Linked DNA regions of Lonchura striata. The protein of the gene in region 1 purifies or fractionates together with the protein of each later gene. This does not show direct contact. Links are inferred from orthologs where the notes say so. Each region holds a gene or a part of one and is shown in the gene's direction. Other genes may lie near its edges.

Region 1 (16,171 bases):
ATCGGGCAGACCCGGATCCCAGGGGGGAAGTGGATCCGGCTCCTACGGGGGATATTCGGGATCCTACGGGGATGATGTGGTGTCCTACGGGGGAGGATCGGGATCCTATGGGGGATCCTCGGGATCCCAGGGCAGACCGGGATCCTACGGAGGAATGGGATCCTATGGGGGATCCTCGGGATCCCAGGGTAGACCGGGATCCTATGGGGGATCCTCAGGATCCTATGGGGGATCAGGATCCCAGGGCAGACCAGGATCCTATGGGGGAATGGGATCCTATGGGGGATCCTCGGGATCCCAGGGTAGACCGGGATCTTACGGGGGTGGCCCGGGATCCTACGGGGGATCAGGATCCCAGGGCAGACCAGGATCCTATGGGGGTGGTCCAGGATCCTATGGGGGATCCTCGGGATCCTATGGGGGAGGATCGGGATCTTACGGGGGTTCCTCGGGATCCCACGGCAGGCCGGGATCCTACGGAGGAGGATCGGGATCCTCTGGAGGAATGGGATCCTATGGGGGATCCTCGGGATCTTATGGAGGATCAGGATCACAGGGCAGGCCGGGATCCTACGGGGGAGGATCGGGATCACAGGGAAGACCGGGATCCTACGGGGGTGGTCCGGGATCCTATGGGGGAATGGGATCTTATGGGGGATCCTCGGGATCCTATGGGGGATCGGGATCACAGGGCAGGCCGGGATCCTACGGGGGAGGATCGGGATCCTCGGGAGGGGATTGGGGATCCTCCGAGGGGGGCCCGGGCTCCTTCGGGGGATCCTTCGGGGGATCCCGGCAGCGTCCCGGCTACAAGAACCCCGGGATCCCCTTCGTGCCGGGGCTGCGGGACCCCGCCCGCATCGGGGGGCACATCCCGATCCGCCGCGGGCCGGGATCCGGTCAGGGATCGGGCCAGGGGTACGGGCTGGGATCCGGTCAGGGATCCGGTCAGGGGTATGGTTTGGGATCTGGTCACGGATACAGCCAAGGATCCGGTCAGGGATCCAGGCAGGGATCTGCCCTGGAATCTGCCCAGGGATCCCGCCCAGGATCCGCCCAGGGATCCGCCCTGGGATCTGCCCAGGGATCCAGTCAGGGTTACAGCCAGGGATACAGTTCAGGATCCGGTCCGGGATCCACCCAGGGATCCGGGCCGGGATCCGGGGCCGAGGACGAGGCCGGGGGCGGGAACGGCTGCGGGGGGTGCCGGAAGTAGGGGGGGGATGGGGGGAGGGGTCCTGGGGGATCCGGAATGTTCCGAGCGGATCCCCGAAGATCCCGAAGGGTCGGAGCCGGGATCGGGAGCGGGGATGGGGGAGGGGGGGCCGGAAATGGGGGGGAGGGGTCTGGGTGGATCCCGAAGGATCCCAAATAAAGGCTTGGATTGGGCCCAGCCCCGTCGCTGTGGTGTGGGACTGGGGGCACTGGGAGCACTGGGGATACTGGGAATGGGGGACTGGGGATACTGGGAACACTGGGAATGGGGGCACTGGGAGCACTGGGATGGGGATACTGGGAGCACTGGGGATACTGGGATGGGGGACTGGGGATACTGGGAATGGAGGCACTGGGAGCACTGGGGATACTGGGAATGGGGGACTGGAGATACTGGGAATGGGGGACTGGAGATACTGGGGAGATACTGGGAATGGGGTACTGGGAGCACTGGGAGCACTGGGGCCACTCTCAGTCCCGTCCCTGCCCCTCCCCCACTCCAGGCATCCCCTCCCCCCAAACCAGTGCTCCCAGTACGGCCCCTCCCCCCCAAACCAGTGCTCCCAGTACGGCCCCTCCCCCAAACCAGTGCTCCCAGTGCTCCCAGTACGGCCGGTTCCAACCACAAATTTGGGGGGACACGCCCGGGGTGGGGGAGGGGCACACCTGGAACCGCTGGAATTTGGGGGTCACACCTGGAATTCCCAGATTTTTTTGGGGGGTGCTCACCTGGATTGTCCGAAATTTTGGGGGGGGGGGGGGGGAATCACCTGGACTGTCCCAAATTTTTGGGTTTTTTTTGAACACCTGGAATGTCCCAAATTTTGGGGGGGTGTCCCCAAAACCTTCCCCCCCCCCCCCCCCGCAGGGAATGCCGGGAACTGAGTCACAGCCCCTCCCCCGCCCCTCCGGGAGCCTTTAAGAGCCCTCCCAGTGCTCCCAGTTTGCTCCCAGTTTGATCCCAGTTTGATCCCAGTGTGAAGAGGAGGGACCAGGCAGCGCTGCCAGGTACTGGGAGGGACTGGGAGCAAACTGGGGGAAACTGGGAATGAACTGGGTGGGGCTGGTGTGAACTGGGAGCAAACTGGGGGGAACTGGGAATGAACTGGGTGGGGCTGGGGTGAACTGGGAGGGCCTGGGCTGAACTGGGAATGAACTGGGATGAATTTGGAATGAACTGGGAGGAACTGGGAATGAACTGGGATGAATTTGGAATGGACTAGGAATGAACTGGGAGGCACTGGGATGAACTGGGAGGCACTGGGATGAACTGGGAGGCACTGGGCTGAACTGGGACCGAACTGGGAGGGCCTGGGCTGAACTTGGCTGAACTGGGAATGAACTGGGAATGAACTGGGAATGAACTGGGAGGCACTGGGCTGAACTGGGAGGAACTGGGAATGAACTGGGATGAATTTGGAATGGACTGGGAGGCACTGGGAATGAACTGGGCTGAACTGGGAATGAACTGGGCTGAACTGGGCTGAACCGGCGCTCCCCTCTGTCCCCTCCCCCCCCAGCCATGGCCGAGCGCCCCTCCCCCGCCCCGGGGCTCCCGCTGGCGCCGTGGCCGCCGCTGCCCGAGTGGCCGGGCCGCGACCGTCGCGACAGCGGCGACAGCGGCGACAGAGGAGGAGATGGAGGAGGAGATGGAGGAGGAGACGGAGGAGGAGATGGAGGAGGAGACGGAGGAGGCGACAAAGGAGGAGGCGACAGTCGCGACAAAGGAGGCGACAAGGACACCGCCCCGCCCCCCGGAACGCAGGGGACAGGGGGACGGGGGGGACGGGGTGACAGCCCGGACACCCCTGGGTGTGCCCCAGGTGTGCCCAGGGGTGCCCAGGTGTGCCCCAGGTGTGCCCCAGGTGTGCCCAGGGGTACCCCAGGGGTGCCCAGGGGTACCCCAGGTGTGCCCAGGTGTGCCCAGGTGTGCCCAGGTGTGTCCCAGCGATGGCACCGCTGTCCCTGACACCCCTGAGAGCAATAAAGTCCCCAAGGAGCGTCACCAATTGTCTCCAGGTGCCCCCAGGTGCCCCTAAAGTGTCCCAGGTGTGCCCAAAGTCTGCCCAGGTGCTCCAGGTGTTTCCCAGGTGTGCCCAGGTACCCCTAAACTGTCCCCAAGGTGCCCCAGGTGTCCCCAAGGTGCCCCCAGGTGTGCCCAGGTACCCCTAAAGTGTCTCCAAGGTGTGCCAGGATGTCCCTAAAGTGTCCCCAAGGTGTGCCCAGGTGTCCCCCAGAGGTGCCACCGCTGTCCCTGACACCCCAGATGTCCCCAGGTGTCCCCAAAGTGCCCCCAGGTGTCCCCAGGTGTCCCCAGGTGCCCCCAGAGGTGCCACCCCCCCTCCCTCGTGGCTCCCGGGGCTGATTTTGGGGTTTGCCCATTTTTCTGGGAGAATTTCTGAAGATTTTTGGGCGGATTTTGGACTTTTTGGACGAATTGCGTCCACTCTTTCAGACAAACTGCAGCTGACTTTTCGGGTGGAATTCAGTGATTTTGGGACAAATTTCGTGCAAATTTGGGAAGAATTTCTCTCTATTTTCCGACCATTTTGGACCGATTTTTGGGCAGTTTTTTCACCATTTTTCACCATTTCCTGGCCACTTTTGGACCAATTTTCTGCCCATTTCTTCCACCATTTTTTTTACCATTTTCTGACCGTTTATTCCACCACTTTCCCCACAGTTTTTGGGCCACTTGGCCATTTCCTCGCCATGTATTTCACCACATCCTGACCTTTTTTTTCACCATTTTTTCTTCCTTTTTTCACCACTTTTGACCATTTTGGACCTTTTACCGCCGATCTTTCCACCACTCTTTTTCACCATCTTTCCACCGTTTCCCGACCGTTTTCGCACCGATTTTAACCCTTTTTTTTGCCCATTTTTTCCCCCATTTTCTCCCCCGTTTTCCCCGCCCTTCCCCGTCCCCATGGCAACGGCGCCGCGCGCCGGTGACGTCACGCGGTCCGCCCGCATCCCACAATGCCCCGCGGCGGGAAGGGGGAAGGAGGGCGGGGAGGGGTCCTCCAGTATCCCACAATGCCCCGCGGCCCCGCGGGGAAGGGGGGTCCGCCTGCATCCACAATGCCCCGCGCCGCCGCCGCCGCCGCTCGCTGCCCGGGCCCGCCGCTCAGCCGGTACCGGGGGGGATGGGCACGGCCCCGGGGGAGGGGGAGGTGGGGGAGGGGAGAGGGAGGCGGTGGGGGGGGAGGGGTTGTGTGTGTGTGTGTGTGTGGGGGGGGGGGGGTTTGGTTCAAGGGGGGGGCGCGGTGACGTCACGGCGCGGCCTTGGCGCGCGCTCCCCCCCCCCGCCCCCTCCCCCACCCGCTCCCTCACTCCCCTCCCCCCCCTCCGTCCGTCCGCAGGTGCAGCCACGTGACTCCCGGAGCCTGCCCCACCCCCCCCCAGTGCTCCCAGTAACTCCCAGTAACTCCCAGTGACCCCCCCAGTGCTCCCAGTAACTCCCAGTGACCCCAGTAACTCCCCCAGTGCTCCCAGTAACTCCCAGTAACTCCCAGTGACCCCCCCAGTGCTCCCAGTAACTCCCAGTGACCCCCCCAGTGACCCCCCCAGTGCTCCCAGTGACCCCCAGTGACCCCCCCAGTGCTCCCAGTGACCTCCAGTGACCCCCCCAGTGCTCCCAGTAACTCCCAGTAACTCCCACTGACCCCCCCCCCAGTGCTCCCAGTAACTCCCAGTGACCCCCCCAGTGCTCCCAGTAACTCCCAGTGACCCCCACTGACCCCCCCCCCCCCAGTGCTCCCAGTCCCTCCCAGTCTGTCCCAGTCCCTCCCAGTTACTCCCAGTCCCTTGGCAGTTCCCTCCCAGTCCATCCCAGTCGCTCCCAGTCGTTCCCAGTGCCCATAATTCCTCTCCCAGTCCCTCCCAGTCCCCATAACTTGGCTCCCAGTCCCTCCCAGTCTCTCCCAGTCCCTCCCAGTCCGTCCCAGTCCCCATAACTTGGCTCCCAGTCACTCCCAGTTCACTCTCAGTCTCTCCCAGTACCTCCCAGTGCCCATAACTTCCCCCCCAGTCCCCCCCAGTCCCCCCAGTCCACTCCCAGTCCCTCCCAGTCCCGCCAGCCCCCCAGCCCCGCCGGCGCCATGTCGTCGTGCGCCGAGGTGCTCCGTTTCCAGCTGCCGGGCCACGAGGCGGCGGCGCTGCGCTCGATGACGCGGCTGCGGGCGGAGGAGCGCTTCTGTGACGTCACCATCGTGGCGCGCAGCCTGCGCTTCCGCGGCCACCGCGTCATCCTGGCCGCCTGCTCGCCCTTCCTGCGCGACCAGTTCCTGCTGAACCCGGCGGCCGAGCTGCGCGTCTCGCTGGCCCACAGCGCCCGCGTGCTGGCCGACCTGCTGCTCTCCTGCTACACGGGCGCGCTGGAGTTTGCCGGCCCGCGACCTCGTCAACTACCTGACGGCCGCCAGCTACCTGCAGATGGAGCACGTGGTGGAGCGCTGCCGCGGCGCGCTGGCGCGCTTCATCCAGCCCGCGCCCGCCGCGCCCGCGCCGCCGCCCAAGCCCGAGGAGGACGAGGACGAGGAGGACGAGGAGGACGCGGCGGGCGACGTCTGCATCGTCAAGGTGGAGCCGGCCACGCGGCGCCGCGGGCGCAGGTGGCCGGCGGTGACGGGCGGCGAGGCGGCGCAGAGCGGCGCGGCGGCGGCGGCGGACGGCGGCGCGGCGCGGCTCGGCGTGGTCAAGGCGTGTTACAGCCTGGCCGAGGACGCCGAGGGGGAAGGTTTGGTCATCTTCCCCGGCGGCGGCGGCCGCGGGCGGCGCGGGCGGCGCCGAGGAACCGCCGGGCGGGCACGCCGGCGCCTCGGCGAGCGCCGCGGCCTCCGCGGCGGCACCGGCGGCACCGGCGGCGCCGGCGGCGGCGTCGCGGTGCGGGAAGTGCGGGGAGAGCTTCCAGGGCGTGGAGAAGCTGGTGTTTCACATGCGGGCGCAGCACTTCGTCTTCATGTGCCCGCGCTGCGGCAAGCAGTTCAACCACAGCAGCAACCTGAACCGGCACATGAACGTGCACCGCGGCGTCAAGTCGCACGGCTGCGGCGTCTGCGGCAAGAGCTTCACGCAGAAATCCACCCTGCACGACCACCTGAACCTGCACAGCGGCGCCCGGCCCTACCGCTGCTCCTACTGCGACGTGCGCTTCGCCCACAAGCCGGCCATCCGCCGGCACCTCAAGGAGCAGCACGGCAAAACCACGGCGCAGAACGTTCTGGAAGCCGGCGGCGCCGAGGGAGGGGTGCTGCTGCGGTGACGCGGGGCGGGGGAGGGCCCGGCGGGGTGGGGGGCGGGGGGCGGGGGGGGTTTGGGGGGTGCTGGGTCCTCTCCCGGGTGAGGAAGGGGGGAGGGGTGGGGGGAGGGGCGGTGAGGGGTGGGGGATGTGCAGGGAGTGACCGCTGCGGTGGTGGGAGTGACCACGGAGTGACCACTGAAGTGGTGGGGAGTGACCCCCCCAAAGTGGAGCAGAGTGACCCCAAAGTGGTGAAAAGTGACCCCAAAGTGGAGCAGAGTGACCCCAGAGTGGAGCAGAGTGACCCCAAAGTGGTGCAGAGTGACCCCAGAGTGGTGGGGAGTGACCACTGGACACTGGATCCCTGCTGGACACTGAGGGAGTGACCGCTGGGGTGGTGGGAAGGAAGTGGGAGTGACCACAGAGTGACCACCGAAGTGGTGGGGAGTGACCCCAAAGTGGTGCAGAGTGACCCAAAGTGATGAAAAGTGACCCCAAAGTGGTGAAAAGTGACCCCAAAGTGGTGCAGAGTGACCCCAAAGTGGTGCAGAGTGACCCCAGAGTGGTGGGGAGTGACCACTGGACACTGGATCCCTGCTGGACACTGAGGGAGTGACCACTGGGGTGGTGGCAAGGAGGCCACAGTGGTCAGGAATGACCCCAAAGTGACCCCAGAGTGGTGGGGAGTGACCACTGGACATTTGATCCCTGCTGGACACTGAGCTGGTGACCGCTGGGGTGGTGGCAAGGAGGTCAGAGTGACCATGGAGTGACCACCAAAGTGGTGGGGAGTGACCCCCAAAGTGACCCCAGAGTGGTTGGGATTGACCACCGGACACCTGGACCCTGCTGGACATTGAGAGTGACCACCGGGGTGACGGTGGCGACCTCAGAGTGACCCCCAAAGTGACCCCCAAAGTGACCCCTGGACATGTGGACACCGTGACCCCGAGTGGGTGACCCCCGGGGTGATGGCAACGAGCCCAGAGTGACCAGAGTGACCACGGAGTGACCAGAGAGTGACCAGAGAGTGATCACAGAGTGACCAGAGTGACCACGGAGTGACCAGAGAGTGACCAGAGAGTGATCACAGAGTGAGCAGAGTGACCACGGAGTGACCAGAGAGTGACCAGAGAGTGATCACAGAGTGACCAGAGTAACCATGGAGTGACCAGAGAGTGACCAGAGAGTGATCACAGAGTGAGCAGAGTGACCACAGAGTGACCAGAGAGTGACCACAGAGTGACCATGGAGTGACCACGGAGTGACCCCTGGACACCCAAATCCTTCCTGGAACAAAGTGGGGAGACCCAAAATGGGGAGGAACAATGACAAAATCAGGGAAATGACCCCAAAATGAGGAGGAATGACCCCAAAATGGGGAGAAAGGACCCCAAAATATGGGGAAAGAACCCAAAATGGTGAGGAAGAGCCCCTGGGTGACAAATTTTGGGGTTCCTGGGCCACCTGAGTGACAAATTTTGGGGTCCCCATTGAAAATCCAGCTGGAAAAAACAGGGAAAAAACCCAAAACCGGCAAAATTTTGGGGATTTTGGGCAAAATGAGCTGAATAAGGCTGATTTTTTTGGGGGCATCCCCCCAAATTTGGCCTCTCTGGGTAAATTCCGGGGCTCTCAAGGTCTCGGGGGATTTTTGGGGGGTCCCCCTTGATGTTTTAGGGATTCCTCCCAGATTTTTGGGGACTCCCCTGATTTTTTTGGGGATTCCCCCAGATTTTTTGGGGGGTTTTGTAGATTTTAGGATTTGGGGACCCCCTTAGGTTGTAGTGAGGGGTGGGGGAGGGGAAGTTTTTGGGGGTGGGGGAGGGATTTGGGGTGGGGGAGGTGACCCCAAAATTGGGGTTTTTTGGCGGGGGGTTTAGGGGGTAGAAAGGAGAATTTTGGGTCCCTTTTGGGGGATTTTGGGGGGGGGGGTGAGACCCGTTTTGGGGTGGGGGAGGGGCGTGGGACCCCTCCCCCAACCCCGGAGGTTTTTTTTGAATTTTTTTTTTTTTGTAATAAATGGATTTTGAAAAAAATTTTAAAAATGGGTTTTTAGTTGTTTTTTGGGATTTGTTCATTTATTTTTGGGGAATTCATTTTTTGTGGGGGTTTCTTTATTTAATTTTGGGATGTATTAATTTATTTGCAATTTATTTTGGGGGAATTACTAATTTTTGTAGGAGTTATTTATTTTTTAGGGTTTTTTTTCTTTTGCATTTATTTTTTGGGATTCATTTTGGGAAGATTTATGAATTTAATTTTTTTGGATTTATAAATTTGTATGGGACTTACTTTGGGGAATTTATTTTTTGGCATTTATTAATTTTTAGAGATTGGTTAATTTTTGGGATTTATTAATTTTTAAGGATTAATGACTTTGACATTTGATTAATTTTTAAAATTTAGTTGTTTTTGGAGGATTTTTTCCATTTTTGGGCATTCATTAATACAACTTTGGGGGTTTATTAATTTATTTGGGATTTATACATTTTTGGGGGGGTTTATTATATTTTAGAATGTACTAGTTTTTGGGGATTGGTTAGCTTTTATTGATTCATTAAATTTCTGGGATTTTTTTGGGCAATTTCTGAATTTTTATGAGTTTTTCACTTTTTCGAATTCATTAATTTTTGTCCTTTCCTCATTTTCGCGGATTTATTCGTTTTCAGCGCCATTTTTTGAGCCCTTTCGGGACAATTTGGGGGGTCCCGAACCACCAGGACCCCCCAAAATTCACATGGGCGTGGCCTAAACACAAAGAGGCGTGGCTTAAGGCAGTGGGCGTGGCTTAAAACGAGGGGAGTGGCTTGGCTCGGTGGGCGTGGCTCACAGCGAGGGGGCGTGGCTTCGCTCGGTAGGCGTGGCCAATCCGGCAACACAAAGCCCGCGCGGTGGGCGTGGCTTCGCCCATAAAAGGCGCTACGCGCTGCGTGCTGACGTCACCGCGCGCGGCGATGGAGGCGGCGGGAGGCGCCGAGGTCTGAGGGGAGGCCGAGCCGGGGCCGCTCTTTGGGGCGTTTTCGGGCGGTTTGGGGTTTTTTTTGGGGGGTTTTGAGAGGTTTTGGGCATTCGGGCGGTGGCTGTGAGCGGGGGGAGGGGCGGGGTCCGCTGGGGGGAGGGGCGCGCCCCTCACGGCGCTCTCTGCCCCTCCCCCTCCCCCTCAGGACCCTCCCGGCGGGACCCTCGTGGTGGAGGCGGCGGGAGAGGCCGGTGAGTGACCCCCCCCAAATTCTTATTCGCACTTTGGTCTCCACTGAGACCCCCCTGAGATCCCCCTCAGATCTGCCTCAGGATCCCCAAAATTCCAATCAGGATCCCAAAATTCCAATCAGGATCCCCAAAATCTCCTCAGGATCCCCAAAATTCCAATCAGGATCCCAAAATTCCAATCAGGATCCCCAAAATCCCCTCAGGGTCCCTCAAAATCCTCTCAGGATCCCCCAAAATCCCCTCAGGACCCCCCAAAATCCCCTCAGGATCCCCAAAATCCCCTTAGGGCCCCCCAAAATCCCCTCAGGTTCCCCAAAATTCCCCTCAGGATCCCCAAAATCCCCTCAGGATCCCCAAAATCCCCCTCAGGATCCCCAAAATCCCCTCAGGACCCCCCAAAATCCCCTCAGGATCCCCAAAATCCCCTTAGGACCCCCCAAAATCCCCTCAGGATCCCCAAATTCCCCTCAGGATCCCCAAAATCCCCTCAGGATCCCCAAAATCCCCCTCAGGATCCCCAAAATCCCCTCAGGACCCCCCAAAATCCCCTCAGGACCCCCCCAAATCCCCTCAGGATCCCCAAAATCCCCTTAGGACCCCCCAAAATCCCCTCAGGATCCCCAAAATCCCCTCAGGATCCCCAAAATTCCCCTCAGGACCCCCCAAAATCCCCCTCAGGACCCCCCAAAATCCCCCTCAAGACCCCCCGAAATCCCCTCATGACCCCCCGAAATTCCGCCCAGACCCCCCCAAAATGCCCCAAACCCCCCCTGACCCCCCTTTTCTCCCCCCCCAGGGCTCCCCCCGGGCAGCCCCTCCCCCTGTGACCCTCCCCCCCCCGGCGGGACCCCCCCCACAGCCGGGGGGGCCCCCCCGGACGAGGAGGGGCCGGGGGGGGGCGGCCCCAGCGATGGGGAGGGGGCGCAGGGGACCCCCCCCGGGGGCGGCAGCGGCTCCAAGGGGCTGCCAGGTGAGGAGGGGGCGTCTGGGGGGGATTTTGGGGGGGCTGGGGGGATCTGGGGTGGGTTTTGGGGGGTCTGGGATGGGTTTTGGGCGAGTCTGGGGCAGTTTTGGGGGGTCTGGGGCAGTTTTGGGGGGTCTGGGATGGGTTTTGGGGGAACTGGGATGGGTTTTGGGGGGTCTGGGGTGGGTTTTGGGGGGTCTGGGGTGCGTTTTGGGTGGTCTGGGGCAGTTTTGGGGGGTGTCTGGGGATTTTGGGGGTCTGGGGCAGTTTTGGGGGGTGTCTGGGGATTTTGGGTGGTCTGGGGGCGCTTTGAGGAGGTTCTGGTGGGGTCTGGCAGGATCTTGGGGACCTGGGGTTTTTTGGGGGATCTAGGGGGGTTTGGGGGTTTTTGGGGAGGGTCTGGGGGGTTTGAGGGGGTCTGGGATGGATTTTGGGGGGTCTGGGGCAATTTTGGGGTGGGTCTGGGGATTCTTGGGGGGATTTGGGGGGTTTGGGGGTGCTTTGGGGGGTTTGAGGGGGGTCTGGGATGGATTTGGGGGGATCTGGGAGGATTTTGGGGGGGTTGGTGACATTTTGGGGGGGGTCTTCATGGCTTCTGGGGTGTCTGGAGGAGATTTTGGGGGGATCTGTTAAATTTTGTGGTGGGGGGAAATCAAATTTGGTTTTTAAATCAACCTGGGGCTGTCTCTGAGCTATTTTTGGGGGGGGTCTCCCCTTTTTCTTGCCCTCAGGCCACGCCACCAAGACCCTGCCGGGCTCCCCGATTTTGGGGGGCGATTTTGGGGGTTCTCCTCCCACCCCCTGCCCCCCCCCAGCCGTGCCAAAATGTCCCTGACGGGGGCGGGGGGCGGCAAAACCCCCCCGGGCCAAAGCCTGGCCCTGCGCCTGCTCAGCCTGCCGGGCTCGGGGGGTCCCGGGGGTCGCCCCCCACCCCGGAGCCCCCCCAGAACCCCCCGGAGCCCCCCCCAGAACCCCCCCGAGCCCCCCAAAATTCACCGAGCTCGCAAAACCATGGCCAAGCCCAGCAACGGACAGGTACGGGCTGGCTCTGGGGGGGTTCTGGGCAGGGGGTGTCAGGGGTTTGGGGGGGTCTGGGGGGTCTGGGGGTTTTGGGGGACCCCCGCTGAGGGTTTGGGGGTGTTTTTTGCCCCCCTCCAGGTGCCCGAGAAGCCGAGGATGTCGGAGATGCTGCACTTCAGGGTGTCCGAGGAGCTCTGCGGGATGGGGCAGCACCACGGTCTGGGGGGGTTTGGGGGAATTTGGGGGGGTCCTGGAGGGGATTTGGGGGGTCTTGAGGAGGTTTGGGGAGTCCTTGCGGGGTTTGAGGGGTGTTGGGGAGGTCCTGGGTGGGTTTGGGGGGTCCTGGGGAGTCCTGGAGGGGTTTGGGAGTGTCCTGGGGAGGTTTTGGGGGGTCTTGGGGAGGTTTGGGGGGTGTTGGGGGATCCTGGGGGGTTTGGGGTGGTTCTGGAAGGGTCTGGGGGTTCAGATTTGGATCTGGGGGTTCAGATTTGAGTCTGGGGTCTCCCTGACCCTCTCTCTTTGCCCCCCCAGACACCCCCAAACGCCCCAAGCTGGATTTTGGCTCCGAGGGGCTCCACAAGCGGCTGCAGCAGCGCCCCAGCCCCCGCGCCAGCACCGAGGTACCCAAAAATCCCCCAAAATCCCCCAAATCCCCCCAAAATCACCCCCAGGGACCCTGCAGCGCCCCAGCCCCTGCACCAGCACCGAGGTACCCAAAACCCCCCAAAATCCCCCCAAAACCACCCCAAAAACCATCCAGGACCCCCGCAAATCTCTCCAGAGCCCCCCAAATGCCCCCTTAACCCTTCCAGGATCCCCCTAATCTCCCCCAATCCCCCCCAGGACCCCCCAAAATACCCCCAAAATCCTCCCAAATCCCCCCGTGCCCCCCAGATCACAGTGATGGAGGAAATGGCTGCCCCCGAACACCCCCAAATCCCCCCAGACATCCCCAGATCCCCCAAATCCCCCCAAAATCCCCCCAAGTCCCCCAAGCATGCCCCAGGACCCCTCAAAATCCCCCCAAATCCCCCCCAAATCCCCCCCAAATCCCCCCCAAATCCCCCCCAAATCCCCCAAACCCCCCCAAATCCCCCAAATCCCCCCAAACCCCCCCAAATCCCCCAATCCCCCCAAACCCCCCCAAATCCCCCCCAAACCCCCCCAAACCCCCCCAAATCCCCCCCAAATCCCCCGAGATCCCCCAAACCCCCCCAAATCCCCCCAAATCCCCGAGATCCCCCCAAATCCCCCGTGCCCCCCAGATCACAGTGACGGAGGAAATGGCCGCGCCCCCCCGGGACTGGGACTCGGAGGGGGGAGGGGGCTTCTCCCTCTTCTACGACGGCTTCAGCGTGGATGGGCACGGGGACTCGGACAGCAAGGTACTGGGAGGGACTGGTTTGTACTGGGAGGGACTGGGAGAGGGGCTGGGGGGACTGGGAATGGAAATCTGGGGGACTGGGATGGACTGGGAGGGACTGGGATGGACTGGGAGGAACTGGGAATGGAAATCTGGGGGACTGGGAGGGACTGGGAGGGACTGGGATGGACTGGGGGGAACTGGGATGGACTGGGAGGAACTGGGAATGGAAATCTGGGGGACTGGGAGGGACTGGGATGGACTGGGGGAACTGGGATAGGCTGGGAGGGACTGGGAATGGAAATTTGGGGACTGGGATGGACTGGGGGACACTGGGATGAACTGGGGGGTGCTGGGGGGCTCGAGACCCCCCGACTCAGCCCATCCCCTGCTCAGTCTGAGGGGGACGGGCCGGGCGAGGCCCTGAGCGAGGAGGAGGAGGAGGAGGAGGAAGAAGAGGAGGAGGAAGAGGACGAGGAGGAAGAGGAGGAGGAGGAGGAGGAGGAGGAGGAGGAAGAGGACGAAGAGTCCGGGAACGCCTCGGATCGGGTGAGGGGATTTGGGGGGAAATTTGGGGCTTTTGGGGAGGATTCGGGGCAGGTTTGGTGGTTTGGGGGGGTTTTTGGGCAGTCTCAGGGGTTTGGGGGCCATTCTGGGGGATTTTGGGGCACTTTTGGGGGGTTTGGGGTCATTCTCTGGGGTGTTTGGGGCCCTTTTGGGATATTTGGGGCGTTTCTGGGGAGTTTTTGGGTCTGTTTCTGGGTTCTTGGGGCCTTTTGGGATATTTGTGATTTTGGGCTGTTTTTGGGTCAGTCTCAGTGTTTTTGGGACGTTTGGGGCGGTTTTTGGCTCAGTCTCAGTGTTTTTGGGGCTCTTTTGGGACATTTGTGATTTTGGGGCTGTTTTTGGGTCAGTCTCAGTGTTTTTGGGGTGGTTTTTGGCTCAGTCTCTGGGTTTTTGGGCCGTTTTGGACATTTGTGATTTTGGGGCTGTTTCTGGCCCCGTCTCTGCGTTTTTGGGGCTGTTTGGGGCTGTTTTTGGCTCAGTCTCTGGGTTTTTGGGCTGTTTTGGGACATTTGTGATTTTGGGGCTGTTTTTGGGTCAGTCTCAGTGTTTTTGGGGTGGTTTTTGGCTCAGTCTCTGGGTTTTTGGGGCTCTTTTGGGGTATTTGTGATTTTGGGGCTGTTTTTGGGTCAGTCTCTGCGTTTTTGGGGCCGTTTGGGCTGTTTTTGGCTCAGTCTCCGGGTTTTTGGGGCCGTTTTGGGGTGTTTGTGATGTCGGGGCTGTTTCTGGCCCCGTCTCCGCGTTTTCGGGGCCGTTTTGGGCCGTTTGGGTGATTTTGGGGCCCCAGAGCGCGTGCAGCGCGCGGCGCCGCGGGCGGCGGCGCTGGAAGGAGAGCCCCTGGCTGAAACCCGCCCGCAAGAGGAAGAGGAAGGACCCCCGGGGGGGCAAGGACCGAGGTGGGACCCCAAAACCTGGGGGGGACCCCCAAGTGGGGAGGGGGACCCAAAAAATGGGGAGGGGTATCCTGAATTGGGGAGGGGAATCCCAAAGTGGGCAGGGGATCCCTAAATGGGGAGGGGGACCCCAAAATGGGGAGGGGGACCCCAAAATGTGGGGGGGACCCCAAAGTGGGGAGGGGACCCCGAAATGAGGAGGGGCACCCAAAAAATGGGCAGAGGGATCTGAAAATGGGGAAGGGTACCCCAGAATGGGGAAGGGGACCCTGAAATGGGGAGGGGGATCCAAATTCGGGTGGGGATTGGGACACGAATTTGGGGAGGGGGGGGGGTCTCCAGGGAGGGAATTTGGGGAGGAGAGTTGGGACAGGATTTTGGGGAGGGGGGGATTGGAGTGGGGATTTGGGGAGGGGTCCCTGGGAGGGGATTTGGGGAGGGGTCCCAGGGGATTTAGGGAGGGGTCCCAGGGAGGGGATTTGGGGAGGGGTCCCAGGGGATTTAGGGAGGGGTCCCAGGGAGGGGATTTGGGGAGGGGTCCCAGGGGATTTAGGGAGGGGTCTCCATTGAGGGGATTTGGGGAGGAGAGTTGGGACAGGATTTTGGGGAGGGGGGATTGGAGTCGGGATTTGGGGAGGGGTCTCCATGGAGGGATTTTGGGGTGGGGTCTCAGGGAGGGGATTTGGGGTGGGGTCCCAGGGAGGGGATTTTGGGGAGGGGACTGGGGGAGGGGTCTCCATTGAGGGGATTTGGGGAGGGGTCCCTGGGAGGGGATTTGGGGAGGGGTCTCTGGGACAGGATTTGGGGAGGGGTCCCAGGGAGGGGATTTGGGGAGGGGTCCCGGGGAGGGGAATTTGGGGAGGGGTCTCTGGGACTGGATTTGGGGAGGGGTCCCTGGGAGGGGATTTTGGGCAGGGGTCTTGGGGATGGGATTTTGGGGAGGGATCCCAGGGAGGGGATTTGGGGAGGGGTCCCCGGGAGGGGAGTTTGGGGTCTCTGACCCCCCGTGCCCCCCAGGCGCCCCCGGCCCCCCCGTGGGCCCCCCCAGCGAATACACCGAGGTGCCGCTGGGCTGCCTGCAGCTGCCGGGGGGAGGGGCCCTGAGCCCCCAGCCCCCAGGTGAGGACACGCCCTTCCGGGACACGCCCCTTTGGGGACACGCCCTTCCGGGACACGCCCCTTCCGGGACACACCCACTCTGGACACGCCCTTCCGGGACACGCCCACTCTGGGACACGCCCCTTCCGGGACACGCCCCTTCCGGGACACGCCCCAGGACACGCCCCTTCCGGGACACGCCCTTCTGGGACACCCCCCTTTTGGAAAATGCCTCTTTTTGGAGACACGCCCCTTCCGGGACACGCCCCTTCCGGGACACGCCCCTTCCGGGACACGCCCCTTCCGGGACACGTCCTTCCGGGACACGCCCCCAGGACACGCCCAGCACACCTGGGCGCGCCCCTTACCCACCCTGTCAGGCTCTTGGCCACGCCCTGATCCTGCCCTGGCCACATCCTGCCCCTGTCACACCCTGACCACACCCAGCCCTGACCACGCCCATGGCCACGCCCTGACCCCACCCATGGCCACGCCCCGACCACGCCCATGGCCACACCCTGGCCACACCCTGGCCACGCCCATGGTCACACCCTGATCACGCCCATGGCCACGCCCTGTCCATGTCACACCCCGACCAC
Region 2 (16,389 bases), on another chromosome or scaffold:
GTCTTTAATATGAGGTTTTTGTACAATACATACAGCACTGGATGCATGACTTTCAGATCTTGATGTGAATTTTCACTTCCAGCCAGGTGACAGACACAGACATGTGAACACCTGGGTTAACCTTCTGTGGTTGAGAGTATCCTGTAGTGGAGCATCACCATCATTAATATCCCCACTGATTTTTAAACTCACTCCTGTAAGTCAGGTTATCTGAGCCAATATACCTTTTCAGAGCTGACTGTCTCAGTTGTTAGAGGTTGCCTGTTCTTGGTGGTGAAGGAATTGTGAGAAGCCATTTGATGACTATCAGCATGACTATGTTATTTCTGTATATCCCTATGCAGTGGATTGATTCCAGCTGGACCTTAACCAAAATTGAACTAAACATGCGCTTAGGCACTTTGGTGTTTCTAAAATGTTCTTTTCTCTCATGCTTTATTCGAACTGCTAAATAAAGTTGTCTTCTTTGAAGGAGCTGTTTGTCAATATCGGAAAAAAAACAGGTGCCTGAAACCAGCCAGAGCTGCAGCATGATAGACATTGGTATATACAGGATAGTGCTTACCTCCTGAGTGAAAATAAAAGAGCAAGATGGCACACAAACCCAAACCCAGCATCAGACAAGTCAAAGAGGAGCCAGAGGTGAAGTCACTCCTGTAACATTGGAAATGACATGTTAGGATCTGGAAAAGGCTGATACTGACTCCATTGTCTATTCCTACAGTTACAACTCTCTGCAAAAAAAGCCCACAACACTTTTGAGTTTATTACTCCTTGAATACATATACATCCTCTGCCTATGAATGAATACTTATCTTCAGCAAAATTATATCTGCTGACTCTGGAAGTCACTTTATAAAACTTTGACCTTTGAAGTGAGAGCATTATCACCAGACTAAAATAGTATGTCCATAAAGCATAAAGATTTGTTTTGTCTTACTGTATTTCACTTGCTGATTATTTTCTTTGGCATGTTTCAAGTAGGCTCAAGAAACAATTAAAAGATAGAATTTGAAATAAGTCCCGAGACCTTGGCTTCTCCTGTTTCCTGCAGAATCAGGGAAATTTCTTCTGTGATGCCATCTCCAGTTTCCTTGACATGTTCCACATGACAGAGTCTCAGAATAGAGCCAGGAAGATGAACAGTTACTGTTCTCTGCTCTGGACTTGGACAGTTTTTAAAGAAATAGAAATGATTTCTGATACATTTTTAATGGTTGACAGGGTTTTTTTCCCCTTGCCATTCTGCAGAACTTTTAGCAAAAAAGTCTATTCCTTTGGGAAATCCCAGTGTTCCAGACTGTAGGTGTAGAAAATCCTTTATTGCACTTTAGAATCATTTCCATATACAGAAACAATTTCAAGTAGTTCTGAGGTCTTTTGCAGATACTCCTTTCAAGGCTTCATCTCGTCTGAACCTTGAATTATTGCAGTCAAGTTAATTAGAGCAGCCTTTACAGGTTCAAAAGATTCAGACAACAATTACAATAAGGTTTTTACAAATTTTCAAATACTTTTCAAACTGTTCATCTCTGATATATGTATTATATGGAAAAAAACCTGTAACACTATGATATAATATATATAGATACTATCTTCTGCACTCAGGGCTGACCCGCATGACTAATTCATGACTATGCTATTTGTGAGTAATGGCATCATCCCATATTTCTTTTAAAGAACTTTATAATATGTAGTGCTTATGCATGCCTGTGATGATCTCAGATTGTATCTTTGAGGACTGTTACACTGTTTTATTATAGCCAATACATACAGTAATGCCTATGGTTAATGCTGCTTGACGCTTTCTAGTAAAAGACATTTTACATTGCTATCTTTGCTGACTTTAAACCACTGGGATTGCAACTTTTCAATATATGACCCTTGATGAATTCTTTGAAGGAATACTTCATCTGAAAAGATTCAGTTGGTGGTTGGGTTTGAGGCTTTTTTGTTTTCTTGATTCTTTCTTTCTTTTTTCCCTGGAACAATGTTTAAAAAAGTAGTTACTTTTTGAATAGTTTTTGTAGTTTTTGTTATTGGGATATGCCAACAATACAACCTGGCAATGGATTGACTCCTTGAGAGAGTACTCGCTGGAGCGTCTTGGTATCGCTTTTGCTCACTGTTTTTCCTCATTGCTGCCTAGTGATCTTAGGTAAGACTATAAAAGGTAGATGTGAGGAGCTTTTAAAGACAGGAGTTTTTTACAAACTGTGTTCAAACTATCCTCACTTCAGTGAGCCAGATGACAAAAATACAGTAACATCAACCAAAACTGCCACAGGCATTTAGTTACTTTCTCTGTTTGATTATGCATGAGTTGAGATAATTTTGATTTATTAACTTTATTTTGTTGCTTTTAAAAATAATGTATGTTCTGCAACACAAAATAATTAATACCAAAATAAAAGATAGTAATTGTGACTTTGTGTATTTGACTTTCTAGAGGAAACACTCATTCCGCATTACATTCCTGTAGAAAGATTGATAGAAACATATCCATGCCCTTCTAAAACACCATCTCCTTATGTGAGTACAGACAATGAACACAGTCCAAGATGAAACAGAGGCTTTATGGCAAAACCTAGTGAAGTGTTTACTAGTGAATTTACCCTTGTCTATTGATAGCAAAACTTGTATTATGATACCAAATGATCGCCAGTGAGCAGCTGCTAAAATATAACAGAGAAAATCCAGTAGAATTCAGCCTATCCTAATACAGGCAAACTTCTGGAATAAGGCCTTTTGTCCCAGGGCCGTCAGTCTAAACAACAAGGCTATTGACTGCATGTGCCAGCCTTTGTTACTGGGGGCTACCTGAAAAGATTAAAATTGCATGAATCTGCAATTTCAGATCCATCAATTCTCAGCTGCAAAACCTCCATCTGTAAACTGACCCAGGAGGAGCAGACTGTTGACTTAAGCTTCTATCTTAAAGGGTCATACTGTCATAGTCTATCCCTAGGAAACAAATTAATTTCCAGTGCTAGTGCTAAATAAGTCTCAAGAATCTGTAACATAGTTTTGATCTTTCATATTGCCACATTTATTACAAAAGGTCTTTAATTCAGCCACGGACCATCAGTCAAATGAGTAAGTTCTTTAGACAACAGAAAGGAAACAAAATGGGAGGCATTCAGACCACTTCCTCTTCCACTTTGTCATAATTTTACTAAGCTATATACTGACACGAACATGCTTCTCCAAAAAGGAACTGTTTGTGAATCATCTCTAAGATAAGCCACTAAAGATTCCTTACCTTTAGCACCTCTTCCTTTACAGAATATATTATTATTTTTGTTCAGGCTACATTGAATCCAGAGTGAAATCTGCAGGCTAATGATGAATCAAGTATACATTTTACTTTCCCTTCTCTATGCTGAAAGGCAGCTTGCTCAGTTTTGTGAAGTTTTTCAAGCACTAAGCCTAACATTAGCATAATATTCTTATATGAGTCAAGCTTCTGGTAAGAAGTACTGGTAGAACTAGGCTGCACTGCAGTGTACTGAAAAAATCTACATTATGATGATTACAGGAAAACTAAATTTTCCTGGTTCCAGCCAGGACAGGGGTAATTTTTGCAGTAGCCAGGAGGGGCATGGCTAGGACCCAAAGGTTATTCTGTACCACCTCATATAATTTTTCAGGGATGGGGAAGGGCTCCCTTCCGAGTCGGCATAGCGTGGTAGAGGGAGCGGTTGACTATTGTCTATTGTCAAGAAGTTTCAATGTGAATAGTTTGGGTTTTGTACCCTCTGTCATTAGTATTATTGATTATAGTATTTGTTTTCCTATCTCATTGCTGTTTCCAATATATTGGTATTGAATCTTCAAATTGAAAAAAACCCATAGATTTCATATTGTTTATTCATAAAAAGGCATTTCTATTGCTTTAGAAGATAGCTTTACATTGTTAAGTTTTTCCTTTTTCAGTTCTTTAAGAAGATTGTGAGACTTTTTTTTTCTCATCTGAATGGAAAAAAAAAGATGTTTTTCAGTCTTTCTCTAATTATCAGAAGAAACACCCTGTTCTTTCTCAATGTTTACAAATGTCTTTATTTTCCTAAAGGAAAACAGCTAACAGTTTACCACCCAAATTAACATTCTCTTCATTGGAAAACACTGGTTATAGTATTTGGAAAAGATTGATAGGCCATGTTGAGAAAAAAAATGCTGGAGATATTTACACTCTTGAAAAGTCAACCTGTAAATACTATACCCATAAACAGAATAAAACCCAAAGTTCTCTATGAAAAATATCCTGCATGAGCTGTAGCAGAACATGTACTTCATTAAAAATCTGTAAGGCTCTCTGCATTCTCTGTAAAAACATAGAATTTCAGATGTCCCTGTTCTCCACGTACTTACTCATTCTAAAGTGTACTTAGTCATAAGAACACAAATTACAAAATCAAAGAGAAAAGCAAAGAATGCCTGTCTTTCAGATACAGTACCTACATTTCCATCAGTCCTCAACCTACAGCTTTCTTAGATTATGACACCTCCTTTCAAAACTGAAGAGGACATTCCCTAATTTAATGTTCAGGTAATGCACTCTTCATAATGATCATTACATTGACTATGAGAAAAAGCAAATTGTTATGGCTGATCAGACATTTAAAGTGTTCCATAAGGATAAAATTATCCTTCATCTTTACTCCATGCTCCCATCCCAACCCAACTATTTAGCTAGGATTTTGTTTTCTTAGTCCTTTTATAAACCTGTTCTTATCCTCACCAAGGCAAGGGAAGCTCATTCCAGTGGTATGACAGTACTACTTTGAATAGAGCCAAGGAGTTCAAGGAGGTAGCTAAAAGTTTTTATCTCTGATGTGGATGTAAACAACTAAACACTGCTGGTGACCAGTAGGGTGGGCTGAAAGGGCAAGCAATGCAATTGCACAAAATTATTTTTATTTTAGATGTCCAGTTTGAGACTATTAAACATAAAATCATTTTAAGTTATGTAGTATTGGTACATCTTCATTTTCTATGTTTGTTCTGTGATCAGCTGTTCAAATTGCCTTTTCCATTGTGCTTTTGCCTCATTCAAGGCAAAAATCCTCTTCTAGGAATAAATCAGAAATATGCAGAACATATGTAGACTAACCGGGGATGTAAACATATTGATCTCATCTCTGTCAGCATTGGTTTCACAGCATCCATAGTCAGGGGTATCTATGTCTGTTATGGATGGAAGCTGCTGCATGTAAGATTCCAGTTTCAAGTGTAGCAGAACTAGAAAGGCAGGTGGTGAAAGTGTCAGGAGAATGCACAAAGAGAAAAGCAGGTCCTGTAGATAAAACTTCATTCTGTCCCATGTAATTTAGTTCTAATTCTGTTGTAAAACTTCTATTTGACACTAAGCAAGCCATTAAAGCATAGTAAAGCATAGATTCTAAATATTACTTCGGAAAGCCAATACAAGATATTGGGTATTTAGCCAGAGGTACAAAACCATCTAATATTTACACCTGTAAGAAATATCAATTAAAAAGCTACTTTAAAAGTAAAATATACTATCTTTTATTAAGTTTTTAAATCTAGGCCTCTTTAATTGAATGTCAGAAGTCAGTGGACAACTCTGACAATATTTGCAGTAATGTCATGTATTAGTTCTAAATGGGTAGAGAATGGATATCAAAATCCCCCCCTTATTTAATGGGCATATTGCAAAGAAAAATTACTGGTTCTTAAAAAAACTGGAGACATGGAGTCTGTCGTTGAACTCCACAAGGAAACGGTGGTGTATTGATCACATTCTTTCAAAGCAAAAATTTGGGGAAACTGTCCTTATCAATAAAGAACTAAATACCTTTTTTTTCAGTCCAAAAAATTACCAAGAATATATTAGTGTAAATATTGCCATTCCATTCTCCAGTTATTTAAACTGGATTCTGTTACTGTCTTAATCTAATTTAGAATCAATGTTTTTCAGATCAATGGAAGGAATGTCTCAGTAGTTTAGAGAAATAGAAGGTCCTCTCTCCCAGACTTTCATGTAAAGAATCTAGTTCAACAGTTGATTCTTCAAGTGACTCCACTTTCCTCCATGTGTCTAAAAACTATCAAACTTTTATCTTCCTGAAATGACCTCTCTTGAAACTGCACCCATTACAAAATGGGAAACATAACTCTCAGCTCTGGAGTGTGGGAAGTACACATTGCAAGAAATACTTTTTTCTATCATTTCTCTTTCTCATTTTTAACTTAAACATCTCAGACCACTTAGAAGACAAGATACTGAGATGGAGATGAGGAAGAAGTGAGGAAACTCAGAGGGAAAGAATTTACAGAGAATAACAAATTACAAGAATGAGCCACACCCCAGAAGTTGTGGGCAAATGAACATAGGATCAAACTAGGAGAGAAAAAATATTAGGTGCAAAGGGATATTATGCATTTCAGACCAAAACTGTCAACATAACTTGGCCATTACAGAATTTTAAATCATCCAGTTGTCTTAGACCAAGAAAGACTGGGTTACAGAAACATGAGTAGGATTAATCTCAACTTTCTCTAAGCAGTTGCAGAATAGGTGACATGATTCTGATCATTAAAAAAAAGTCAACAAGAAAAATGAAATTTAGACTTAGATTCAGCTGACTAGACATAGGCATCTGCATTAGGATGAGATGAATCATGCTGGGAATTCCACCAATGATGCTGATTATCTTTCCTTTAACTGTGAAAAGTGCATTGGATGATTGGATGAGGTGTTAATGCCAGCACAGACCAGACCATCCCATTTAGCCATATCAATCCCGCCTTTTGAAATCCTGCAGTTAATCACTGGCTGCATCTCAAGGACTAAATGCTTCCTTCCTAAGCCTTACTCCCAAATACTAAAAGGCAGATAATCAGCTTAATATAACCAAACAGAAGCTACTGACAGTCACTTTATTATCAAAGTTATGATCTTGTGGGTAAATCCTTGCATATTAAATACTTCTGTGATCCCTTTGCTAGAGCAAATTCTAGATATGTAGATCCATTCCCATCCAATACAGATCTCCATGATATTTTCAATACTGTAAGGTTTCAGCTAGCTGTGACCTACCACCACAACTATTTCAAATTCAGCTGTTCCACCACCTATGACGATCTTTGTAGACATTACAGTGGCACACAAAGAGGTCAAAATTGAGTTGACCTTTCAAAGGAACTTGATTCCATGCTCTGTATTTCGCCCACAAATTAGAACATTCTTTATTCAGCTAAACAGAACAATTGTCCTCCTGACTTTACCAGGAGCACCACTAGGGCAATTGTCCACTTCAAACTGGAAGCTCTGTATGCACATTGCAAAACTTCCTGCCTGGCTGACATTGCCTGGTTCTTTCCCAAGGTGCATTAACTGAGGCTGTTCAACCACCTCTGAAAACACTTACTGCCACTGTCAGAACTCAAACTGGTCTGGCTTTCCAGTCTTCGTAGACTGCTCCATTACTGCATTCCATATAGCTTCTCTTCTGGAGATATTTACATGCAATGTTAGGAAAGCCATTTAGGAAGTTGGCAGTAAGGCTGGCTTCAACAAACAAAATACTGTTGAAATTTGATGTGTCCTGCCTACAATGAGGAACACATGGAACACCTTAAGAAGTAAGAAAGAAACAATGATTTCAACAATTCATCATGCAACATTTGGACAACTTGATTTTTTTTTTCTAGAGAAAGCAAGATGAGAGCAAGCTAACCTTGTGTAACAAAATCCAACTGCAAAAACCCATCACAAAAACCTAGTACCTCTCAGATGCTTGAACCACAACACTATCAAATGGTATTTTTGAATAGTGTGATTGTTTCTCCTGAAAAGTTTTACCAAGCAACAAGGACAAAAGGTTAGAATGGAACGCAAAAAAGAATTAATGGCAATGCAAGCAATGAATATGTGTAAAAGAAGAAATTATTTCGCTGAATTGTGGAGTGTGGTCAGAACACTAAAAACTAGAGTTAACTGAATTTTGGCTCTTTCCTTGAGATACGACAAATGTAGAAGTACTGATCAACAGTACTTCTTTTGAACCATCCAGAAAATCAAACTGCTTAAGAACTAGTTTACTGCAATGGTGAGACCCTTAGTACAGATCAAGATGCTCTATTTTTATGTCTTTGCAAAGTAACATCTTCAGCAATCACTGCCGCCATCTCTTTGCTATCATGTGAATACTGATTATCTTCAAGGGCTGTCCTTCAAAGGGAGGCTCTAACAGTGACATTACTCTGTGTACAGCTCAAAGAGGATTCGGCCCACCCCTTAGGGATGGCAATTAAATGCTCATCTCCAGAAGGCAATCACAGAGTTTACTAAATCTTAACCATCTTAGTTTTGTATGTAGGCCCATCCTTCCACCAATGATCCTGCTCCTGTCACTGAAGGACCCCCTCTTTCACCAGCTTAGATTAAACCTAGTCCTTAAAGATATCAAGGAGTGGATTAAAAATCTCTTTGTAGACTAGTTAGAAGATCAGGAAAGTACGAAAACTATGCAAGTTCTTAGATATTTTATCTGCACAAATGACGTCCATCTCGAAGTCCAGTATAGAATTTCAGTTGTCCAAATGAAGGATGTTGACCTTGGAGACATTGACATATTTGTCATAAGGAATGGGCAGATTAATCAAGTCTGAGAAAGGAATCTCTAGCTCTTTCTACATAAATCATCCAAAGCCCATAAATGGACCAACATTTTCTGAATGACTATCTGCTGGACGACAGTCCAAAACTCGTCCATCAAAGTAGAACATTTGAGAACATTTTTTTTAGGAAGACCTTTGAAAGACACTGAAGGAAAAAGTAAAAACTTTGGTCAAAAATGAGTTGACTCAATAGCTTGATTGATTACACAAATGCGAGGAACTCTACGCCAACCTGTGCTGTTCTGTGGCAGAGAACGGCTCCCTGGTGTGGAACGGAATAGGAAACACTTGCTGGAAAAAACAATGTGGTATGACAGAGCACACAGCTTGGCATTCCTGTCCTGACACTGGTTTTGTCCCAGTCTTCAGCCCCTTTGAGATCAGAAACTATTCCTTGAAGAATTTTCTCTCAAAGAAGTAACTCTTACATCTACCTTTGCATAACAAAGCCTTCCATTCATCAGGTCCATGGCTAGCTCCACAGCACCTCATGTGAGGCACCCCCAGATGACACACCAGGTGCCAAGAACAGGTTCTGTCGTGTAACTAGGGATGGACTCATAAGCAGGTCAACAGTTCAGCTACATTCTGTTGGCCCATCATCCCACGGAGGCCTTGGCGGGGCCTTCCCGGCTTGGCAAACACGGTCAGCCGGGAGATGGAAGGCACATATCCGGTGTTGGCAGCCTCCGTCGAGGGCTGTTTAGTTTCTTTTACGGCAAAGGCATCCAACCAAGGAAGTCGGGACGGGGAAGAAGCGCGTGCAGACGCGTTATGTATGGCACTACCGCAGGGCGATGGACCGGGCGCTGGTGGAGCCCGCGGGCATTGGAACGCGGAGGGTCGCGGCGGGGCGGCCACGGGGGGCTGCGGGCGGGAGCTCGGGGGCGTGACGAGGGCCCTGCACGTGCGTGGGGCCCCGCGTCCTCCCAGCACCGCCCCGCTCCAAACTCCGCGTCCGTCCCGCGGGCACATCCCGCAGCCCCGCACCCGCCCGCTCCTCCCGCTCCCATCACCCGCGGTTTCGCGGGCGCGGCCCCGGGCGCGCGCCCCCGCCGACCCCCGCGCGCCCCCGCCGGGCTCAGCTGAGCAGACAATGGGAGATCAAAGCCGGGATGGGGTGGGGGGAGGAGGAGAAGGAGGAGAAGGAGCGGGAGGAGGAGGATGGTGCCGGGCGGCGGCGGCGGCGGGGGGGGGCGGCTGGTGGAGCCGGCGGGGCGGAGAGCGGTGGTTCGCGTGTGTCTCTCTGCGCTCGATTAGTGTTCCTGGGGAGGGAGCGAGCGAGTGTAGCCGCCGGCGGCCGGAGGGGTGCGGGGGGGCGGGGGGGGCGAGCACGCGTGTGAGTTCTGTGTGCGCGGGTGCGCGCGGCTGCGTGCTCCCGCGGGCGCGCGCGCGGGTGCGTGCGCGGCGGGCTGTGCGAGGGCGAGCCGAGAGAGCGAGCGAGTTGCGCAGCTGCCGTGCGCGCACCCCCCCCGCCGCCGCCGCCGCCGCCAGCGCCAGCAGCAGCAGCAGCAGCAGGGGCAGGAACAGGAGCACCTCACTGGCATTTAACGAGCGGAGCTGCTAGTTGCGCTGGAGAGAGACGCGCAGGGAGGAGGAGGAGGAAGAAGAGGAGGAGGAGGAGGAGGAGGAGGACGGGAAGAGGAGAAGGAGGAGGGGAAGAGGAGGAGGAGGAGGAGAAGAAGAAGAAGAAAAAGAAGAAGAAGAAGAAGAGGAGGGAGAAGAGAAGGAGGAGGCCAAACGGACACCAACTGAAACAAAAGTATTTCCAAACCAGCACCCAACTCCACCTTGTGAGGCTCCCACAGCATGGCTTCCGAGGAACTCTACGAGGTAAGAGCCCTCGAGCCCCACCGGCCCTGCCCCCGGCCCCGCCGGCCACCCCACCCCACCCCGGCGCACCCGGGCGCGTTTTTGTTGCTCCCCGGGAGCGCCGCCGGGCTTGTCACCCACACTTGCCGCGGCTGCTGCCCCTTCCCGCTGGGCCCGGCGCCTGCGTGTGTGCCCAGCCTGGCCCCCCGCCCCCCCTTCCCTCCCCAGTTTTACTGGAGGAGGACGGAAATGTGACTGAACGGAGGAGACGGCAAAGTGTTGCCGTGGCCTGCGCTCCCCCCAGTCCTTTCCCCACGTTCACACAACACTTTGACTCCGTCAGGAGAACGGGGGGTGCTGGATGGGGCGAGCAGCGCTGACAGCCCCGGCAGCGAGCACGTCGAAGTGCGAGCCCGGCGCTGTGCAAAAATGTGAGCGGAGCCGAGTTATTGCCTCTGTCCGGGCCGGGGGGGGCGGGGGAGGAGGAGGAGGAGGGCAGAGGGGCTTTCCTCTTGGATTTGTGTCCATACCGAAGTCCTGTGCCACCATCGTGTGCCTTGGCCGTGCAGCAAGCTGCGGCGGTGCAAAAGACTAAAATTTAAACTCCTCGGCTCTTCGTGCTCCAACGATAGGGTTGAGGTTGCGAGAGAAGCCAAAAAGATTGAAAGTTAAGGCTTTGACACGCCATCCTTCGCTCGTCACTCGGGAGGTGGTCAGAGCGTGTGCTGACGGGAGAGGAAGGTCTTGGGGTGAAGAAGGGAACAAGGTGGCAGCCTAACTTTTGAGTTTCCTATCTTAATGTCTGTCAAATTCACATCCTTGCCCTTAATTGAAAAGCGTCATGGTTCTCTTGGATTGAACTTCCTTGTTTTTATTTTTGCAAGAAGTCATCCCCGGGAGTGAAAAGCCATTGTTGTTTTGGAGCTGTTCTTGCCTTTTGGGTAGAGAAGTGGCTTCCCAAAACCAAAAATGCTCTTATCTGATATTTAATATGCATCTAGACAGTGATCTATTTAAAACATGTATCCAGAGGCTGGAACTCTTAAGGTTAAAAGGAGACAGATAGCCTTCAGGACACTTGACAGAAGATGTCTTGCTGTACAGCTGGTGCACATGTATCTCTCATTAATTGAGCTACATCTGTGATGCCATTGGGGAACAGACCCTGTAGAAGTCAGTGGAAGGTGTCCCAGGTGGGCTTGTATTTTAAGCAAGTTGACTGTCAAGCAGAGGTGCTGAACTGATAGACTAGAAAGAAGACCGAAGGCCTGTACTCCCAAGGCAGATAAATCATGGTTAATTGATCTGGCATGTTTCCCCATCCTCACGATGTAGCTTAAGCCAATCTTGAAGGGATCATCCCTAGAAGTAGGAGAGAAATTTAGGAACCACTCTGTGTCTTGAGGGATTGCCAAAAACTTGCTTTGACTTTGGGAAAAGTTTCTGTTGGGTTTGTGGAGTTGGGCCTGTAGACTGTGCCGCGGCCAATTCTTGCTCTTTGTGTGTTGCTGTGTTAGATCAAAGATGGACACGAGGTACTGGTTTTGATGGGCGCAAATAAATGACCTGGAAAATTCTGTTTGCCGGGCCTTGGACTGAGGCTAAGAATGACCGTTGTGCATGACTCTTCTTGGCTGTCTTAAATTGTGTTCAAAATGTTGACTTGTTGGCTCAGTAGTCTGTGGGGCACAGTCGTCCTGTGGGCAGGTGGTGTAGTGGCCATTGCACAAAAGCCGCTTTTGAAGAACACCTGAAGGGATACTATTAAATTTTAAAAATCAGACACATTCTTTAATCGTGCAAGTGCAAAGTTTAGCTAAGATGCCAAAATTGTTAATGCTTTTGGACTCACATGTGGTCAAGCTCTTTTTTCTAAATTGTTACTCATTTTGGATGTGTTTTGTCTTATAATGAATTTTCTAGCCATGTCTGAAAAATTATAAAATAATAAACTATTTAAATACAGTGAGCACTAATTTGGGAAGGACAAAGCTGCAAGTTGACCTGAAATGTTACTTATTAAGAAATTTAAACTGTTTTGTGAACTGCCTGTGCTATTGACGGTGGGTTTACTTCTGTTTCGTGGTTGTCTTATTTATAGCTCATGCTCAATATTGTTTGAATCTGGTGTTTGAAATCTGCTGCCATTTGTTATACTTCCATTTTTCCTTTTGGATCTTGATCTAGTGTCTTGATCAAAAAAATGTTGTGTAATCTATTTGCAATTGTTAGCTTAAGTATGAATGCCAACTATTTCTGCTGATATGTGTCATGGTTCTTCCAAAATACAAATGAAAAATCTGCTTATAAAAAATTAAGGTAAGTAGATTTTTTTTTTTTAATCCTAATGGATTCACTTATTTATGGGATTCTTTTTATTATGGGTGTCATCCCTTAAGAGAGGGAGCTGATCTCTATGTAGGCCAGTGATTTCAAATTCAAAGATCAAAACCTTGAAATCTACTAATAGATTGGCAGTGTGACTGGGGCAGGCTGTGTATCCTCAATGTCATTTGTTCCCATGCATTTTAGAGGTGGTGATGACTACCCACTATTTTTTTTTTTTTTTTTTTTTTTTTTTTGCTGGGGTAGAAACATTGAAGAGGCTCTTTTTGCCTAGATGGAAAATGCAGCAGTCAGTAATGTTGCCAGTCTCTGTACATGAGGTGAATAACCTTTTTCTGTTTTCAAGTTTGTTTCTTCAAGGGACAAAGTGTTTGCTAGTGAGGTGGACAGACATGGAGAGGCTGGTGAGCAAGATAGGTGACGGAAAATGTAAGAAAAGGTGCATTGGGTTTTTATTTCCCCAAGTTTGTTTCAACAGGCATTGTCATCTTGTGGCACCTCTTTTTGTATGTGCCTGCTGCGATTTTTTAGTGTAGTTTTTGAAAAATCCTTTGTACAGCCTTCGGGCAAATGGTAGGGTTACTTTCTTCTTCAGTGTGACAACTTTCCTTTGACTTACTGACCTGTTTCCCACTAAACATTTTTACTTGTTCTCGTCATCTTCACCAGAGTAATTAGAAGTAGACCTCATTTCCAAGGTTCTTTTGGAAGCAAACTATGTTTGCTCTCTCTGCAGTCAAATCCCTTGACCTCCTTTGGCAAACTCTTGCAAGTGATGTCTGGGATTGAAGTCATCCCGAGTTGTGGTTGGCATGGCAAGTTTGTTTGATGAAATGTGGAAATGATTCCATACAAGTGCTCTGTGGGAGAACTGCGTGCTAGCCAGCAGGTCAGACGTACCAAATCGGGGTCGGTAGACAACTACTAAGCTGTGCTGAGTTTGGAAGAGTCTCTTTCTCATAAAATTTAATAATTTGTTTTTGTATTAGGTGAGGTGGAAATGCATTGATGTTCTCTGCTGTTGGACAGTGTATCTAGTCAAATTACTGAGTATTTCTGCCTTTCCTCAGGGAGCTACTGGTACAGCTGATACCCATAATATATGTGGCCCACTGGATCCTCTGGCTAGGCTTAGGCCATGATTGCTACTCATGTCAAAACATTTTTACTGGATTTTACTGATAAGTAAGCAAAACAGTTTGTGTGACCTTTGCTGGTGCACCTATGCCATGATGCCTTCTCTTCACTCTGTTTTTCACATTGGCATTGGTCATAAACCTAGTGTTTTAAGGCGTCTTAACCAATTTCCATTAAAATATTACAAATTAACATATTGAAAGTCCATTACTTCAAAATTACAATTTTTTTGTATCCTTTATAGAATGGAAAATATATTTTTTTTAATTCTTTCATTGCCTTGCAAAAAACATACGCATTTTTTCATACTGTTGTCTAGTATTCTCAAGGTGATACTTCACTCCAATGATGATTCAGTACTTTTGGTTTTATTTTTAGAACTAAAGCCTTTGACATTAAATTATACAGATACAGTGAAATTACAAACTGAAACAAATTTCAGGAGCAACTGGCTGAAGTTCTACAGCCTGGCATTAAGCTATGTGTCAGGCTTAATCACCTAATAAGTAAGCCCAAAGAGACGTATTCCAAGAAAATTTAAACTTTGTCTATAGAGTAGTTGCCCACAAGTCAAAAAAAGTGGTCCTGTGGGCTGTTCTTCATCTAGTGTGCATAGTTTTTTAAACAATAGCGTGTAGAAAGAAGGCTGTTGGAAGATGCTGTCACTTTGTCAAAAATTTGATGCTGCATAGGAATTACTTAAACCCAAAGTTTCTCTCACGGCCCTAGTAACACTGCAGCGATGGAATCTTCATCATGTTTTGTGTGCATTTACTGGAAAGTTTAAACATTCGTTTTACCTAAGTTAACTGAAAGGGTAAATCCATTATCTACAGTATGCAGCTTAGAGTTGTAGTTTTTGATGGCTATTTGATGAAAAATTACTATTAACAACAAATTAGAATTGGCTGTTCAGGCAATAGCCATTTTTTTCCTCATTGAAATGGATTGTTTTCATTCAGCCTGTTGTGCAGGAATTCCAGATTGTCTTAGGATCTGTCTTCTGCTGCTTGTTTCTGATGTGCTGATTCCCAAGACCTTGGTTAAAGATCTTGTTCATTAGGAGGAACTTACAGTCATTGAGGTGTAATGCCTGAATTTTTATGAGTTTATTTTGACAACTGTTGGAAATGTTACTGCTTGTTTCAGGAGAGATAAAATACACAAATTTGCTTGACTGACCCTACCCAACTAAGTAAGACTAGGAATTTACATCAGATATGTTTGTGTTGCTTCCACCCCTTAGGAACTACACTTCTGATTTAAAACAGAGTTGAGGATTAGCTGTTCAACTTCCATGGGTGACTTTCACTTCTTTAAACCAAAGCACGAATGCAAGAGCACTGCAGGAATGGAGCCATCACATTTAGTGTAAGAAACTTGACTTTTCCATGTCCCTTGCCAAGCTGCTTTTCACCACCTTGATTAGCCCCAGAACTCTGGACAAAACTGGGGACTAGTGCCCTGTCTGCTGCTGCTGCTCCAGGGGAAGTGCCTGAGCTGCCCCTGGGGTTTTCTCCAGTGTGCCCTGCCCTTCATGGTGCCACTGACCTGGCAAGGCTGCTCCCAGGGTGAGCTCAAACACATGCAAGCAAAGAGTGAACGTCTGTCTGTGCCCTATGTGGAACACAAATGGTTCACAGATACGGAGATATCTTAGCAAGTTTTATGAACAAAACTCCTTTCTATGTACGTGTACAAAATCAGTATAGTAAATAAAAGGTTTTATTTTTAATCTATTACTTATTTTGAATTGCTCATGTCTATCACAGAAAAAAAAAACAAACGGTGGAAGAGAGAAAAAGTGGGAAAGAGACGCCTCATCCATAAAGCCTGCGCGGCTCTGATAATACCTAACCTTCACAGTCTGTCTTTTACTGTGATTTAATTTCTTGAGTTTTTGGTCAATCAGAGATTTATTACTGCAGTGCCAGTCACGTTTAGAGTTAAAGAACAACTACTTCCAACTTGCAAGACTGTACTATCACAGAAGGTTGCTTCCACAATGCTGATGCTCAGTACCTCTTGAATGAAGATAAATTATCGGACACAAAGAACTTAATGAGACATGCCACAGCCCCTTGTTCTTCAGGAAGGTTGGCATAGCTGGAATAAAATCAGTGATGCTCTGTCCCTTTTAGACTTCCTAGTAGGTGCAGCTTCATTTCTTCCTGACTGCCGCAGCATTTCTGATCTGTGCCAAAGCAGTAGAAAAAACCAAGTTACTAACAGTTATGCTTTCATCTTATTCAACCTATGTGATTCATTCAGACTATGTGATAACTGGATGTGCAGACCTGTTGGATATAACAGATAAGCAGCACTATAATGCCACTCTTATTCTTCTGTAATAAATTCAAAATCTGTTGTTACTGGGCAGTGTATTATTTTTGTGTATCTGTTAGAAGCACAAGCTCCACAAACCGTATTTGCAGGGTAAAAAGGGAT

The links.
Region 2: the proteins of EHMT2 (region 1) and CDYL purify together in Homo sapiens (affinity purification with mass spectrometry; 4 studies listed by BioGRID and IntAct, with this or other methods). This does not show direct contact. The link is inferred for Lonchura striata from reciprocal best matches to the Homo sapiens genes EHMT2 and CDYL.

Annotation. Positions count from the first base shown.
Region 1 is NC_134631.1:95,496-111,666, forward strand, and holds the start of EHMT2 (histone-lysine N-methyltransferase EHMT2), read left to right. Parts: upstream 1-9,414; coding exon 9,415-9,438; intron 9,439-9,624; coding exon 9,625-9,670; intron 9,671-10,466; coding exon 10,467-10,653; intron 10,654-11,365; coding exon 11,366-11,669; intron 11,670-11,792; coding exon 11,793-11,871; intron 11,872-12,185; coding exon 12,186-12,274; intron 12,275-12,919; coding exon 12,920-13,039; intron 13,040-13,413; coding exon 13,414-13,566; intron 13,567-14,368; coding exon 14,369-14,477; intron 14,478-15,491; coding exon 15,492-15,593; intron 15,594-16,171. UniProt on the Homo sapiens protein: Histone methyltransferase that specifically mono- and dimethylates 'Lys-9' of histone H3 (H3K9me1 and H3K9me2, respectively) in euchromatin.
Region 2 is NC_134603.1:94,246,067-94,262,455, reverse strand, and holds the start of CDYL (chromodomain Y-like protein), read left to right. Parts: upstream 1-10,046; 5' UTR 10,047-10,455; coding exon 10,456-10,479; intron 10,480-16,389.